Mytilus edulis: one gene and its partner. The protein of the gene in region 1 interacts with the protein of each later gene in a pairwise test. Links are inferred from orthologs where the notes say so. Each region holds a gene or a part of one and is shown on either strand. Other genes may lie near its edges.

Region 1 (9,023 bases):
CATGGCTCTTTGAATATAAATATAAGGAGATATAATATGATAACCAATAAAGACAAAAAAAGTAAAATCACAAAATTCTGAACTTAGAGGAAAATCAACTTTCTAATCATGCTAATACAGACCAAAGGTCACTAAATGGCCTTCAACAATATGCAAAAAAAATTCTCACTTTTGGACAATCAGCTATTATACTGAAAAGTTGTTAATCAAATAAATGAAAACTTATTGATAGGAAGTTCATTATTGAAAAATAATTGATATCTTATTTATCTACTGTCACTCCTTTCTCTGTGACATTTATATATCATTGTATAACCATTTATTGTTAGTGTTACTTGGTGCTAATAACATGTGAATTTGATCTGTACTTGTTTGTCGGTTGTATTAACAGTCATGCATGACAGTTGTGATACACCTTATCGCTATTTGTCCGCCATTACTGGATATCACACAGGTTCCCGTAAAATTTTGACGATATAAAACAAAATATCTGACGCCACAATGGAAAAGTGATTGTTGTATGCGTCAAAAGTTCAAGCGAAGGCAAATAGCGATAAGGTGTATTGTAACTACCAAACTGCAGTTTAAAAAATTCAAAATTAATGGGTTTGAAAATACAGTAATCATTATTTTACATTAATCTCATTTTAAAACTGAGGAAATTGAAAGTAAAGAATTATTACATGATCAAAGCTGTCAGGGCCTATAACATACATGAACTGCAGTTGCCCCTCCCTCCCCCTGAAAAAAGGGTGAAGCTTTCCATACATATGTTTGCTTAGAATCATCATGTATGACAGATGGAAATTTCATAACATAAGGTATATGCATACAAGGTATGACTTTTGCGTTTGAAAAGGTTTATACTTGGTTTTCAAAGTTTAAAGTGTCTGTTGAAGTATTAATTATCACCTATTTGAACTAATAATTGTTTAATCAGCAATTCTACAGTGATAAATTTACCATTTGAAAACAATTGAGAGGATATGATTAGAAAAACAAACCCCAAGCTGATCAATACGACTTGAGAAATTCCCTTTCTTGATATCCAGCTTAGATGAAGCCATTTGAATATTATAAAACATTAAGGTCAGAAAAATGAGAAATCATTATGCTAAAAAATGTTAATTTCTTTCAAACGTCGTAAGGTTAACAATACACTGCTACAGTGGGTTACAAAACCAAACACAGAAGCTGACAAATACTTTATTGTTGGTCCTACATGTTCTGCAACATCATCAGGCAGTCTGGTATAGACCCATCATGGAAAAAGACTTCTCCTTGGGTTTTACACACAGATAATATGAGATTATATGAATTTACAATGGAGAAAAAGACTCTTCTTCTATATCCAGACAACAACATTAACAAACAAAGGGGTAACTTCCACGAGCATGATGAGGACATTATTACAAGAGAAAACATCAATAGCATACATGTAATATAAGAAAAACACATAACAAATTAATTACAAACAAACCGTGCACCGCGACAAAGTTACTGAGAATCGTCGAAAATTACCTGCTTACCACAGCGCTATCAAAAAAATCCTGGGGAGAACACTGAATCACATTAAAATTTTAACCAATTTGATGCTTACGGTAGCCGAAAATTATCGTTTTACGACTGACGGTAAAGGGAATTACCACCTCTGAGCTCTCATGAATCGTCAGAGGTCTAATTTAAGAAATTATCAACACCGTAATTTCTGGAAAAAAACATTAATGTGATTCATTATTAAAATTCAGTTGATTTTATATCAAAGAAAGCGTACATTTCAACATAAAATTGAGAATGGAAATGGGGAATGTGTCAAAGAGACAACAACCTGACAATAGAACAGACAACAGCAGAAGGTCACCAACAGGTCATTAATGCAGCGAGAAATTCCTACACATGGATGAAACAAAAAATACTGTACACATCATTTGTCAATTTTTTTTACCGTTATTCTTCAATTAAGGTAGCACAATACAAAGATTTTTTCACTCCCAATCAGACAACTTTAAACTGATGTAATTCATTTTGAACATCCTTCTTTACATTTTATAAATGAGATACCAAAAGAAAGACATGAAAGAAGAAAGATTAATCTTTCAAATTGTGATAATTTCATTATGACATAATTATTACATAATTAATTATTATGTAATTAGTTGCTATATTGTGATGTTCACACTTGAACGAATTTAGCGTCTTTGTTCTTCATAGCATCCCAAAATATTTTACAGATTCTTGTACAGTTTTGGAGGTCAAACTGTGTTGTGCAAGAATCTATAAAGTATTTTGGGATGCTAGGAATAACAAAGAAGCTAAATTCATTCAAGTATGGACATCACAATACCGCAACTAATTACATAACAATTAATTATGTAATAATTATGTCATAATGAAATTATCACAATTTGAAAGATTAATCCTTCTTCTTTCTTTTGGTACCTCATTTATAAAATTTAAAGAAAGATGAGTGGAATTACATCAGTTTAAAGATGTCTGAGTGGGATGAAAAATCTTTGTATTGCGCTACCTTAAGACCGAATCCGGGTCCGTTCGCCCTGATTCACGTTCGCCATACTACGTGTTCGCCCTGATACCTGTTCGCCCAGGGTCCATTCGCCCAGATTTATATTTTTTTCTGTTTGTTGTCCAGTCGCATAATTTTAAGTATTTGAACAAAATATGTTAAAGTTTGTTTACAAATTGACAGAATATTTATATTGCCGCAATCATTTTATAATTTTCTCTTTGATTTACAGAGTAGAATTGGTATGTACAATGTATTTCTCTTTATTGATATTTGTTAACAAAATAATTGTATTCAGTCAATCATGAATGTATGCAGTATAACTGAGACTAGGACTGTCTCTGAGTATAATAATGAACTTGTAAATCCGTTTCATGATTTACAGTTCGTACATCATTGTGTTTATTAATTTCAAGCTGAATATTTTATCAAAACAAAACGTTTGATTTTTATTAATAATCCATCAAAAGACAAGTATCTACTGAAGACATGAAAAACCTCTCCACTTATTTTCGAAAACTCTTGCGACAAATTCAACACCTGCCAGACAGAACTGCAAACGTAGCTTCACATCTTCTTCTTGGACGGATTACCATTGAATCAGAAATACATAAACGAATACTGAAAACCTTTGGAAATATCATAAGAAATGAAAACTCAATTGAAAGAAAATTAGCTATCAGACAGCTAGCAACAAAATCTCTACAATCTGGTAGCTGGTTTACAAAAACTGTTGAAATTGCCAATATATATGACTTACCATCGCCATATGATATTATAGATAACCCACCCGGGAAACAACTTTGGAAAAACCTGGTAAATAAAACCGTCAATGATCACTGTATAAAACAAATGATAAGTGAAGCAAAATCGAAATCTACTCTGTCTCGCCTAAATTATGAAAATGTCAAAGAAGGGAAAATACATAACATATGGAAAAGCTGTGGCACAAATCCATATGCCATCACATCTGCCTCCTTAAAGGCAAAGTTAGCAACAGGGACAATATACCTGCAATATCATCGAGCTAAATTTAGCAATGGACATGTGTCGCCTATTTGCCAGTTATGTGCAGAGGAAGAAGAAGATATACTTCACTTCATATTAAAGTGCTCTAACCTACAATATATAAGAGATGATTTTCTGCATATGATAGGCGAGGTATTGACAGTAAACCTAGAGGATCAGGATCTTATCCAAGAATTAATAACCAATGACGAACATTTGTGTCAGCTAGTTATCGACTGCTCAAAATTTAGATTTTTAAATGAGAATGCACAGAATAGAATAGAAACATTATCGAGAGGTCTGTGTCATAAATTATTCCAGCAACGGGCAATATTAATTGAACAGTGATTAAAAGCGTGTAATACCGAGCTGAAAAGAAGGGTCATACCAAAAGATAGAACATTTTGTTATATATAGTGTATTTACATTTTACCGTTTTTAATATGAAAGAAGCAACTTTTATATTTGAATGATGGATGACTTTTTATGCATACCAGAATAGTGTAAATATTGGTGATAGGGTCACATCCCCCAGAGGAGATAAATTAATATCTCTTTTATAGTTTTAAAGGTTTTATATATCTTTTAAACATAATCTTGAGGATTTTAACCGCGAGTGATATTACACCGATTCTAGGATTGGTGGTTCTCCTGACATAGGAGGGAGTTGCAGTACAGGTAACAGGTAACAGGTATCACAATAATCAGTGATCCGAATTATTTTGTCATTGAACAATTAACGATCCTAAACAAGCCATAAACTTTTAAATATTTCCCTGTTTCCATAAATTTCAAGAATATATATACCATAGAAATATCTGAATAAGATTTTTCAACTTCAATGCCTTGAATATCGATATTTTTTAGTAGGGCGAACGGACTCTCTGGGCGAACGAACTCAGGGCGAACGTACCCAGGGCGAACATGTTATAAGGGCGAACGATCCCGATACCCTTAAGACCCTCATAGGCCTATAGTAACTTGTGAAAAACTTGTGGTCACAGGGAGACAACTCACTTTTAAAAATAATTAATGTCATGATATGGAATAACTGCTTAAAATAAATAAAAGTTTTCATCAAAATCTCAAAGCTGACTATTAAACTAACATTAAATATTAGATGACATCTTCTTATTCGTTGTAGTTTTGTTTTTTTGGCAGTGTTTTCTTACTTTCTTCTTTTGTGGAAATTCTTACGACCAAATTACGGGAGTCGTAAAAGTAGAATTTATACAATATTTAAAATCAGTTATATAGTTTTAAAAGATATTTTTCAATGCTTATCTTTCGAAAATCTAGTATTTCAGTATTTCATGATAAGGTAAAATAAAATTATGAAGTCGTAAATTCTTATTTCCGGTAAATAGATTTTGGCGCTAAATTTTGTAAACAAAAATTTGATACCATGCCAGGAGAAGAAAAAGAGCACGTTTATGATGCAGCTTCATTGCCAGATTTATTGCCCATTTATTACAAAAGACTTTTTCCTTATGGACCATATTTCAAGTGGCTCAACTATGGCGGGGGTATGTTTTTTTTCCAAGGGCACTTCTCTCTGTGTCAATAGGGGTTTCTTCTTATCATATGGTAGGTACGGAAAGTGATTTTTTTAAAATTAACTGATCTAAGAAAACTTTACCTCATTTTAAAGGCATTGTGAAGACATTTTCAAAACAGTTTCACTTTTATCAATACACATAATAACAACGAAGAAATAGCAAATTTTCAAAATGATAATTTTTTACTATTCTGGAAAAACTGTTTCCTCTCTTTAAAAAATAATAAAATATATTTTTTGAATCATTTGGGTTATAATTTTGTTTATATTGCTTCTTTTACATCTTGTTGGTCTATTTCAATCCTCAATATTAAGTTTTTTGGTCAAAATAGATACATAAAGTATGAAAATGTCAACCACTCGCATGAAATTCTATCGTCCAAAGTCACATGATGATACCTTTATATTTTCCTTTTTTCAGAGCATCAGTTGGTATATTGAAAATGTAAAGAAAACTTTATAAACACTTGAATGTAAAGAAACAAAATTTAAATATGAATATTACTCTTTATATACAAATGTATATGTTTGTGTGTGTGTATAAAAAAGAAGATGTGGTATGATTGCCAATGAGACAACTCTCCACAAGAGACCAAATGACACAGAAATTAACAACTATAGGTCACCGTACGGCCTTCAACGATGAGCAAACCTCATACCGCATAGTCAGCTATAAAAGGCCCCGAAATGACAAATGTAAATCAATTTAAACGAGAGAACTAACAGCCTAATATATGTACAAAAAATGAAAGAAAAACAAATATTTAACACATCAACAAACGACAACCACTGAATTACAGGCTCCTGACTTTGGACAGGCACATACATGTACATATAGAATGTGGCGGGGTTAAACATGTTAGCGGGTGCCCAATCTTCCCCCTGACCTGTGACAGTACAACATAAGAACGAACTATAAAAATCAGTTGTACCATGAGAGACCAGAAAGTTTTGAAATATGTCATCTGTCTTTGTATAGTCATAATGGTTTTAGAATGTTCCCTTTTCATTAACATTCTATTTAATGAAATATTCTTATTCTTATATATAGCATGTATAGTGAATGCTAATATAAATAAAAATAAACAACAACCTTCTAACAATTATTTTACAGGACTAAAATACCTGTTGCACTGAAAAACAATGAAAATAATATAACATTATTTTTATTCGAGAAATTTCAAACAAAATAATTATGTCAGATCACTGTAAATACTTGTATGTATACAAGTAAAGTAAATTCATAACTGTATATCAGTTACAATATTTATACAGTGAAATCTGTAAACCAATCTCATTCAGGACTGAAGTTCAAAATGCAATACAGTATTGAATGTGAATAGTATTCCCAGTGAACTGCCGCTACTGCATGGATTCCTATGTATGTTTTTAGTTGAACATGTTGAAAATACATATATTGATTGTTGTTAAACCACATTATTCATTATCCTTACTATCTCGTGTGCAATGGCAAGTGGTTGAACTATCTTTAAATCGCAGTAAACTGGCTGTATAATGCAAAAAAAACTATCTCTGCTGATTTCCAATCAAAACTAAACCAAAAGTTGTCCATGCAAGGGAAATAACTCTGTATACACAAAAAGGAGGGTTATTTATAAAAATTTATTTTGATATGAACACAGCTTTCTAGATTTATTTATTGGACCTAATTATTTAATTAATATATTAAACTTAATAAAAAAGTACATTTTATGACTGTATAACATTCCCTTGTATTTTTTTGAAACGAATGTAACTTTCAAACCCTTGTTTGTACCTCAAATATTTCATCGTATTCCCGAAAATTATAATATACAGAATCATGAATATTCATATAATATCTATCAAAAGCAATCAAAACCTTCTGAGACTTAACAAGTTAATAGAAGGCCGTAATCGGAGGTCACCCAAAGATTTTATTTTTACACACATCTGGGAACAATTATTTAGGGTAATTTGGAGTTATCTCCCATTGGTTTGCCATACCTACATATGGTATCCATGCAGTTACCCATCAGATTTTTGGGATACGATTGCTGTCAAGCAATCTGTAGACTTTTACCATTGACCCTATGATACACTCCCTCACGTCATTCGTTTTATTCTAAACATTCAGCAACATCTCAGATTCTTATGATTGTCTTGCTTTAAAAGGTAAAAACAAGCAAAACAATTGAACATAAACAACTTTCCTGTAATGTTTTACTCATAATCTTCATGTGTGATATTTTCCTTGACTTATATGCATGTTTTTAACAATACGGAAAATCAGAATTAAACAGTATTTATATTTAGTGTTTTTATAAATTTAGAAACACGTCAGAGGGAATTCCCAAATTTTGATAACTTGCGAGAGTTCTCTGAAAGCCGATCGATAATTCTATTTCTGTCACAAGAACTGAAGTGGAGTATTTCTATATTTTACCGTTATGAAACTGATATTTGATACTGTACTCTCATAAAGAAATGGAGAACCATTCATCATATCATTTAATAAACGTTCTTGTTCCAAATTGCAAGTGGCGGTTTGTTTATGTATTTTAAATGCCCATGCGTGGTCTCACTAATTAGAGACAAAAAGAATTGTAGAGACAAAAAGCGTCAAGAAGCGACAAGAAGAATAATATTAGCAACAAGAAACTATTTAGCGACAAGAAAACATTTTTTTATTTATATTTATACTTATTCGAAATAAATATTAAAAAGATATGCAAAAGAAAACAATTTCAACGACAGGAAAATTAATTTTGATAGGGAAAAAAATTAAACTTGTAAATCTAATTCAGTTGCTACATTTATTTACATGATATTTTATATAAGGTATCACAGGAAGTATTACCTTTACCCTGTCGTTTTATGGTATTACTTTTACTTGTGTTTTAGAACAATAATATATTTTGATTTTTATTTGTTTTTAAAACTATTTTTGTACAATATATAATTAACTTGCAAAATGCATTATTTGTGCATAATTGTCCAGAAAATACATATACAAATTGTGAAATACAAATTAAGAACTGAAATCAAATAAGAGGAAAACATAACTAAAACGTGAATATTTTTCATCATTTTATTTAGTGTATTGTCTCATTTAACGATATTTATCATGTTTATGCATATAGATTGAAGATTAAAGGAAACTGATGACAATCTTGAGTTTTCAACAGTCAGGCGTTCACTATTCGGTACAATAATTGTATATTCTGGTGCATGTAATAGATGAAGGTGTTAATGGATGTTATTGTAGCAATTAAACAAAGGACACGCACCTAGTTAATCTCATTTGATGCTCTGAATTGTGTATTACCTTAGAGTGAAGCCACAGCTAATGTTGGTCCTATCAGGACAAATTAATTGTACAGTTAGGAAGGAAATAATATTTCATGTTTTTTTTTTATTAAATCCTTCAAAAGGAAGGTGACAAATCTTTGTTTTTATTTTCATTTTATAGCGTTTACATTTCCTTTGCTCTTACACATGTTTAATTTCTTCATATAAAAAGTGCACAATCTCTTCCTCGAATTTTTTTTATTTCTTCATCTTTCAATATAATCCTAAAAAAATATTTTGATGTATGTGATAACAAAATGTATTCTTGTCGCTAAATAGCTTCTTGTTGCTTTTTGTCACTAATTTTTTTTCTTCTTGTCGCTTCTTGACGATTTTTGTCGCTAATTAGTGAGACCCCACATGCGTGTAGTTTTCCTGATTTCAAGGGGTATCAGATTGAGTGATTCCCCGCTTCATTGATTAATTTGAAACTCATGGGATTCGTTCTATGTCTGTCTGCATATGGAGGGCTATTGTTGTTGCACAATTTTAAATCATATGCATAATTTAAATTAAAATAAATGTTTCATCGTAAAGATTTCCTATAACACCCCTTCAGCAGAAATGGAATCTTCCATATCGTTTCGAGTTGTCTCCCTTTTC
Region 2 (9,618 bases), on another chromosome or scaffold:
CATTGAGTAAAAATTTTCAGACTTGCAATTGTGAAATTAATATGTTTAACCATACAAATGTTCAAGTGAACAAAAAGTCCAAGTTATAACATTGAGTAAAATATTTTAGACTTGCAATGGTTTATTATAAAAGGACATCAAATTTTATCTATTGTTGAAAAGCTCATTGTTCACAATATACTGAAGGTGATAACATGCGACTCCTAAGACAACACATACCTGAGTTTTACCATCAGTAACAGACTGGGGTAGCACTATTGGGAAAGTTTTCCAATGATACAACATACTCTCTGCTAACTGTATAAATAAAAATATTCAATTTGATTTTCTGTGTTATAACGCCATTTTTAAGCACCACTTTTTTATATATTTTGAGGCGGCCAGTTTTTCTAAGTGGAGGAAGCCAGAGTGTCACAAGACCAAAACTTAGAGGTAGGTCATGACAGGCACAACCGTCAGACATTGTGGTTAAATTCATATGACTGAAGTCGATTTAAAGATCATATTGTTGTTCTTCAGTCATGTTTAGTTTAAAATTTGAATAAAGATGTATTAGAACATTAGATTTTGCCACTATTTATCTTATTTATCCTAGTTGGCCCCTTAAATCAGGAAAACTAAATAGAGTATTTAGTATTACACACATGAACGTATTTGGTTCAGAATAAAAATATATAAACCAGTAAGATATATCTTTAATAATTTAATTTTACATTGGGAAGCTTAATATTTCCCGAACAATAGAATGTAATTAAAACGTTCAACTGATTTTACAGAGTTATCTCCCTGTTGTGGTATGTACATCAATAAGTAGAACAAACCTCTTTGATCTGTTTCATCACCTCTGCCATGTCATGAGGAACATTCGACAAATCCAGCGGGAAAGCCAGAGGTTCCTTCTATAACAAATAAATATTTCAAAAATTATATATAAATTGTTGCATATGATCAATTTATTATATAAACATGTACATTTCCTTGCTTTTTACATATAATTGTGAAAGAAATCAAACTTTTCCACAGAATCAATGGCTCTTTGTCAGGTTATTTATTTTTTTGCAAATGAAACATTCATATTGAATATCAATGACTTAATTACTTTTACATTTTCAGCTTTATAATCAGGTTTAATTACAAGCATCTTGAAAAGACAATAGACCATCAATAATTTTTATATATATTAGATCCGATGGATACATCTGTTGTCTTTTGTAGAGTTGTCACTGACTCAGACGTACTTATAAATATAATTATTTTCTGTGACTGTATATTACATTAATTTGTAGGATCCTTTACTATAGATAATTTAGCTGATCTGTAACAATAACATCTTCATGCCTTATATATCATGTACTGTAGTACGCCGCTAGATTAAAACTGACGAGGAAAGGTAACACACGGCCAGCGAAAGCTCTTTTTTTGAGAGCCCAGGTGGTCGTGTGGTCTAGTGGGACGGTGCAGTGCAGGCGATTTGGTGTCACGATATCACAGTAGCATGGGTTCGAATCCCGGCGAGGGAAGAACCAAAAATTTGAGAAAGCAAATTTACAGATCTAACATTGTTGGGTTGATGTTTAGACGAGTTGTATATATATATATATATATATATATATATAAAACAAAATATAATCTTTAAATCAACATGGATTATGGTAATCAAAGCATCGTAGATGTTGTGATCCAGCCAATAGCTTGTCTGACATTTTTTCTGACATTACTTTAATATTTTTATTGTTATTTTCATTTCCATAATCTTTTATACAGTTTCTATTATATTGCCCAAAGATGTAGAAGAGGGCAAATTTTAATATATTGATGCAAATCAATCTGGTATTTCAACTGAAGACACTATCAGAATTACAGAATCAGTGATTCCCTATATAATCCACCAAATTTTCCCCCAAAATAGGGCGGGCTTGGCACCCCAGGGCCCCCTCTAGATCCGCCTTTGTCAATATATATGCTTAAAACTTTTAACAGGAAATATTTTTGAAGTACCAAAAAGAGATATACTTATACTACTGGGAACTACAAGGACTTACTTGAGGGTCCATACTCCTCGTTCTTCTATTAGGTTCAACTTCAGTCATACCTCCTGCCGTCCTTTACATGTATTTCATCTTAGTTAAATAAAAAAATACCTAAAAAAAATTCAAAAATCATATTAAAAAGCATAAATACCATAACCATCAACTCGACAGCTTATAACACTAATTTTTGTGAAAAGAAAAACAAAAATTGGTATCCAACCAATGTAATGAATATAAGCTAGGAATCCACAGTACTATATCTGCAAGAAGAGCAGAAGCATTGCAGAATTTGTATTCCTACTAAATTATTGCGTGCATTTATTACTGCAATTTTGCAATTTTAGACTAAAAATGCAATTTGAATTTTTGCGGTATTGAGGAAAAATCCTATTTAATTCATATAAAAAATTTCATAATGAATTATTGCAATTATTACCCTGTTGCATTTTTGCAACAATAAAAATGCTGCGATAATTTTTGAATTTACAGTATTAGAATTAGAATTTCCTCATGTATAGTTAACATAAAAAAAAGAAGATGTGGTATGATTGCATACGAAACAATAATCCAACCAACAGCCTGATTTATATAGAAAACAACACAGCAAACATTGCTTAACATGCTCCCAAAGGCAGTAATAATGGTAAAGTGGTCGATATTATGCTACACTACAGTTTTAAAATTTAAACAAAACTCAGACAGCATGGGGAAAGAGTTCTTCTTTTCTTTATGCCTAGGTCACACATTATGAATCACCTCGCCAGATTCACTACGGATTAAATCTCACGGATGATCCCAGAAAGTTGTTTCCGTAGTCTGATAGGAACCGGTACGGATGCACAATGGTATAACTACAGGTTTTGTACCACGAATAATGAAGGACAGGTTCATTTTGGCAACATGAGTGATACAGGCTCTTATGGTAAGACATGGTTTATTACAGATATGACACAGTTTAGTATGCAACAACACGTGACCAGACTTATGTACTGCAATAGACAGCGGTTTGTTACGGTACAAGAAAGGCTTAGTACAAATGAGAAGGGTCTGATATGGGATAGTACAAACCAATAAGAAGGTTTGTGATACTTTATTTTTTTATCATCTATAGCAGTTTAACGTAGATTATTTTTTGTTGTTGTCAGATAAATTATTTTAGATCTGTCTGAACCATGTGATGTTCTTTGTACTGGCCATGGATAGGGAAATCAGTCCCTAGTCCACAATCATGATCTACTCTGCCTCCAATCACCTCTACATGATCTGTCACCAAGTTCCTCGACCACTGCCCTGTCATTTTGTGCCATATCAATGCCCAAATGCCAGTAATTATCTACAAGCAGCAGTTGTTGTATATTCATGTTGGTTAATGCTATGTATACCTCAAGGACAAGAGACAGAATAAGTTGGGGACTAAAACAGATCAGTATGATCTTAGACGGTTTAGTAGGGATATTATAACTACTGTCGTTTGATCCTTGGTAAAATTTTGAACATGTTCAAAATTTGTCAAGGATACATGTATACAAGTACTTCAACATATAACTACGGATACAATACAGAAATCGTCGCACTAATAAAGATTGCCTCGAATGATGCCGGTTCATATCCATAGCTAATATGGCGTAAATTCCGTCAATGTGTGACCTAGGCATTAAAATAAAAATAAAAAAATCTTCTTCAAGAGGCAATTGAGTTTATGTGAATTTGTATCTGAGAAGCATACATTATTTCCCTCAAATAAGTCATTTCTGGAATCATGTCTCTCACCTAAAAAGGTCGTTAATTTTGCAGGCTTTTATGACGTCATTTATCAGTATCCCTGCTCTATTTAAAGTTTCCAGCACTTTTATATTTTATCCTTCTGTAGGGTAGTATAGAATTTATCAATGTGTCCGTAAGTACATGTATGTAGTCGTGATTGTCGTACTACTGGGGTAGGGTGACAATCTTAGTAGATTTTAATTTCCCAAATATTTTGTGCAGTATAAAATAAAACTTTTTCACCCCTTTGCTCAACATGTGTTGGAAATGACTATTCATACATTTTTGTCTTGTGGTGATGGAAGTCACATGGCAGATTCATCTAAAAACCGTATCCAAGAACTTGCCTATTCTATTGCCCATATACACCTTATCGTTATTTGTCTGCCATTACTGGATATCACACAGGTTCCCGTAAAATTTTGACGTCACACAACAAAACATCTGACGCCACAATGGAAAAGTGATTGTTGTATGCGTCAAATGTTCAAGTGGCCGGTTAAGCCGGGATTAGCAATAAGGTGTACATTGGTTCATGATATTGATAACCTAAAAGTTGAATAATAAAACAAAAACATACATCCTTAAGCTTTCGTTAATAAGGAGCTCATCGCGTACCACATGTTAGTTGCATTTACTAAGTTTTTGACTTTGATATGTTTTACTACAGAAAATAGTTGGAAAGGGAGTTAACCTCTACAGTTGGAAAAAAATTGTGAGAATGATCATGATTTCATAATTTTCCTAGGTGTTTTGAACATTGACGTATAACTAAAAGTGAAAATCTGTGCGACTTTTATATGCAATAGAACCTTAACATTTATTCAAGTGGTATATGTTCTTGACTTGACTCAATAAACTATCTAAATTCAAGACCTAGTGGTATTAGCTAAAAAGTCTTCTCGGTTCAGCTCAATTCTGATAGTCTCGGGTTTTTTCTATAAAATCGAGAATTTCTATCTCAACTTCCTTTTCCGGTTTATATATCACGTCGGTACCAATGCTTAAAATTTGTCTCTTTTAAATCCCAAATAATCATTGAGAAATATAAGTTTTTAATTGAAATCGGTGTTGGAAACATTATTTTAAAGCATGTTGATATGAAATATATTTACTTAAATTGAAAATATTTTCTGATTAGTTGAATAAGTGTGTTTTTCGTACCATGGTTCATTCCATCAACATTAAGATGGCTTTATTCCATATTTTAACTGTATGTTTGCTGGTTATAGTAAGATGTTGAACGAAAATTATAATTAATGTGTAAATAGGCTGAGCACAACATGGCAAATGAAAATACTTCCTCGACATTATCCATGAATGAATGCGACGCATACTAAATTTGGTTTATGCACGATTGTGAAATATTTCATCAGATTTTATTACTAGTTTATGGGTTGTGTAACAAAAACCTTTCTTCAGTAGTGTCAGACGAAAATATATTCTAGGTTCAAGAATATGTGCTGTCCGGAGAGACACATTTTTAAAAATTAAGGTCCCAAGCCCACGAATCTGGTAATACAATAGGTATTACACTTAAGACCAGATACCCCCCCCCCCAAAAAAAACCCTGGCTTCAAAAAATGTTTGAAATATACGGCATAATATGGTTCCTACACATAATCGTGTCTCATCTAACCTGTGGTATACCAATGAGATAGTAGGTTATTCTTGGGTATCACGATTTCTAAGGAAATACAAGAACAACGTAATATACGTAATATCCCAAAGACAAACTGATAAATATCCCGATAAGACTTTTTATGGTGTTATACTGTGTTAAATTAGTGTAATCACATACAATTACGAAATAATGTACAAGGTTTTAGGCGTTCATAATTAATAAAAGTATACGCAATCTTCAGAAAATCGATATATTTAGTAAACAAAACCTACAAATCAAATTCTTGAAGTGAAATTGCACTTTTATGGGTTTAAACAAGTAATATCTTTAATTAATATTCTTTTATATTTTTAGTATATTTATAAGAAGTATAACACCATAAAAAAGTAGCATAACACCATAAAAAATATTTTTATTGGGTTATATCAGTTTGTCTTTGGGATATTTTAAAGGTTCTTGTATTTCTCAGGAAATCGTGCTACTGGTTATTCTTAAAATGTTTGACAAATGGGTTTGATTTTTTTTTACACCTCAAAACTTGTGGAAATTTCCCTAACACTAACAGTCAAACTCGCACCCATTCAGCTGTAGAAGGTTGATAAGTAATGACACCCCCCCACAGGACTCTTAAACACAAAATGTATTTATCTAAATGTGCTGCATGGTCATAAAACTTTTTAAGTCATACATGTTTGTCTACTCAGAGTTGCCTTTCTTTTGTACAGTTTAAATCTAGTTGGGGTTCTGATTTTATTTTGTTCTGCAAACTTTAAAGCTTTTAGAGAAATAACCACATTATCTCAATTTGAAAGATAAATTTACTGCATTTCTGTTGTCATTTGCGATGAAAGAAAAAGTGATATTTTTTTTTTTAATTCTAAAAATGATTCTTATATTTAAACAGCAATGGCGGACGCACCTGCAGCAGCACCAGCCGGTGGTAGAGGAGGCGGTGATAGAGGAGGATTCAGAGGTGGTTTTGGGTCAGGAGAACGTGGTAGGGGTAGAGGAAGAGGGCGTGGACGTGGTCGTGGAAGAGGTAGAGGTCGTGGAAATAAAGATGGGGATAAGGAATGGATGCCAGTAACCAAACTGGGACGTCTTGTCAAAGACATGAAGATCAAGTCTCTAGAAGAAATTTACCTGTTTTCTTTGCCTATTAAGGTTTGTATCTAATAATCATGTACAAAAGGGGGCTGCACATTATTTAATATACGTTGGTCAATATGTGTGTGTGATAAATAGGAAACCTTCAATGAAGAAACAGTTATTGTAGCAACTTGTTCATTTAATTGTGAGATTTCAGAGGTTTTTGAAATATAAAAATTCTTCAATTGTACATGTACATCAAATCTACTTGCACTGAAATATTTTTACTTTCAGAGAACTGTTGCCTAGGATTCTTTGTACCAGCTGGTACATTAACATCCCTGAATTGTCATACATGTATTTATTTTTTAATCCAGGAAAATGGGCTATATCTTACTTTCATTTGATTTTTTTTATCCAGGAATGTGAAATCATTGATTTCTTCTTCCCAAGTACACTCAAGGATGAAGTATTGAAGATTATGCCTGTACAGAAACAGACCAGAGCCGGACAAAGAACAAGGTTCAAGGTAAGGTCATTTATTTAACACAACTGAACAAATAGTTACCCAGATATATGGTTTGCATATCATATAAAGATTAGACGTTGTAAGAGTCTGGAATTAAAATGACCAAAGAAATTATTGATCCATTATATTCAACACTTGTCCTAATCCTAAATTATCTAAATCTTTAAATTCAAAAATATCTCTTCATTAATCCAGTTGAACCTTGAGATATTTAATGTCACAATTTTTTTCTTCTTTTAGATTATGCTCTCCATGAAACTGTTCATAAGACATCAAGGAATTCAAATGTATATTATCTGTTGTCTAAAAGTAATAAACAACCTGAAGGGGATGGGAGACATTTAAATATTTGATATTTATTACAGGCTTTTGTTGCTATTGGAGATCACAACGGTCATGTTGGTTTGGGAGTAAAATGCTCCAAGGAAGTGGCAACAGCTATTAGGGGAGCCATCATCTTGGCTAAATTGTCTGTCATTCCTGTCAGGAGAGGATATTGGGGTAACAAGATCGGTAAACCCCATACCGTACCATGTAAGGTAGGTTGTGTAGACCTTAAAAAGGCATTTGACTCTGTGATCCACCCTGCCCTTTTATTAAAGCTTGCAAAAGCTGGTATTGGTGGGAAATATCTATCTATTCTACAATCCATGTATACAAATATTGGATTAAGGGTAAAACTTAACAATGAAAGTATAACCGAAGCCTTTCCTTCAAATATTGGTGTTTTTCAGGGAGACAACCTTAGTCCTAACCTGTTCAATGTATTTATCAATGATATCACCAAGATATTTGATTGCTCCTGTTCACCAGTTTCTATGGGAACTAAATCTATTAACTGTCTGCTATATGCCGATGATTTATTGTTGATGTCAGAAACTAAAGAGGGTCTTCAAAATAGCATGAATAAAGTGTTTGAATATTGTAATGAGTGGGGACTTGGCATCAACTATCGGAAATCAAAAGTACTTATATTCAATAAGGGAAGTAGAATTCCTAAAGTTAATTTCTACATTGGTGAATCAGAAATAGAAATTGTAAAACAATACAAGTATCTTGGTGTTATATTTACTGCAAATGGTAGTTTTAATAATGCGCTAAAGGACCTATACACCCGAGGCCAAAAAGCTTTTTTCAAAATAACTAATGTATTTAAAAATATGTCTTGTGATGCAGAAAATTTTTTGTATGTATTTGACCATACTGTCAAACCTGTACTTTTATATGCATCCGAGATAGTGGGGATGTTTAAACCCTCTTTAGATGATAACTTATTTGAAAAAGTTTATAAATATCTCCCATTGGAGAAACTTAATTTGTCTTTATGTAGATATATTTTATCAGTTAATAAAAAGACAAGCAAACTGGCCTTGTATGGTGAATTAGGTCGATATCCAATTTATATTGATATTGTTTCGTCTATGTTAAAATATTGGACTAGACTTGAAAATGATAAAACAGGTGATAAACTTTTATCTCATGCACTTGCAGAGAATCTACTCATGATTGAAAATAATCAAAATTGCTGGTTAAGCTCAATAAAAAATATTCTCAAGAAATTTAATATGTTCAACTCTAATGAGTCAGAATTAACTCAATTACATGTTTCTATGAAAAATGGTGATATCCAAAGGATAATAAAATCTACTAAAAGTAAGTTTGAATCTAGATGGTTTCAACAACTTCAAACCAGTGAGAAACTGAGAACATATAGAACTTTCAAAAACATTTTCAAATTTGAAAATTATCTTGTTAATATTTGTAACGAAAATGATAAATATAACATGAGTAGATATAGAACCAGCAATCATAGACTGCAAATTGAATTGGGTAGATATACAATACCAAAAACACCTGTTAATGACAGAACATGTAAGAACTGTTCCTCTTGTGAAGTAGAAGATGAAAAACACATTTTATTAGATTGCCAAAAATATTTTACTATTAGGCAAACCTATATAGACATTTGCTATAATAAGAATAGTTCAAAACTGAACACAGATAACAAATTTATTTGGCTTATGAGTAATGAACATGCCAATGTATGTAGAAATATATCTAGATTTCTAAGTTTGAGTATATTTTACAAAACTGATAGCAAAGCAACAGAAAAATTATCATCTTAGTGTTCTGTCATATATATATATATATATTTGTTGTATGGATATGGTAACTTAATAGAGTATTTACATAAGAACAGGGTTGTCTCCCTTGATATTTATCATACCATATAATATAATATTTCCTTTTTTATGTGTGTATTAGATCTCTTTGTCAGCTATAACTCTTTCTCAATATTTATGTACATATGCATTTATATTGTTCATTTTATGCTCTTTGTGAGTTTTCTTGAATAAATAATTTGAATTTGTAGTTAGCATCCAGCAGTGAGTTCCCATAAAATGAGCAACGCTTTCTTGCATGAGTGATCATACATGTACCCTTTGTAGAAAATTGTTCAAAAACCTGATTATTTTAATCTTTTAAATAAACATTTGAGCAGTTTTTGACCTTTCACTAACAGTTTGTTAGTTTAAACATATTTATTTATAGTGGATTGGGAAACAAGTTTTTCAACTTAT

Evidence for each region.
Region 2: the proteins of DNA primase small subunit-like (region 1) and small ribosomal subunit protein uS5 interact in a two-hybrid assay, tested with the Caenorhabditis elegans proteins (2 studies listed by BioGRID). The link is inferred for Mytilus edulis from reciprocal best matches to the Caenorhabditis elegans genes pri-1 and rps-2.

What each region holds. Positions count from the first base shown.
Region 1 is NC_092357.1:7,814,297-7,823,319, forward strand, and holds the start of DNA primase small subunit-like, read left to right. Parts: upstream 1-4,887; 5' UTR 4,888-4,937; coding exon 4,938-5,058; intron 5,059-9,023. UniProt on the Caenorhabditis elegans protein: DNA primase is the polymerase that synthesizes small RNA primers for the Okazaki fragments made during discontinuous DNA replication.
Region 2 is NC_092352.1:58,050,261-58,059,878, reverse strand, and holds the start of small ribosomal subunit protein uS5, read left to right. Parts: upstream 1-5,383; 5' UTR 5,384-6,324; coding exon 6,325-6,582; intron 6,583-6,928; coding exon 6,929-7,036; intron 7,037-7,401; coding exon 7,402-7,575; intron 7,576-9,618. Other genes in the region: uncharacterized protein, read right to left, coding at 220-297, 822-899, 2,043-2,090. UniProt on the Caenorhabditis elegans protein: Component of the ribosome, a large ribonucleoprotein complex responsible for the synthesis of proteins in the cell.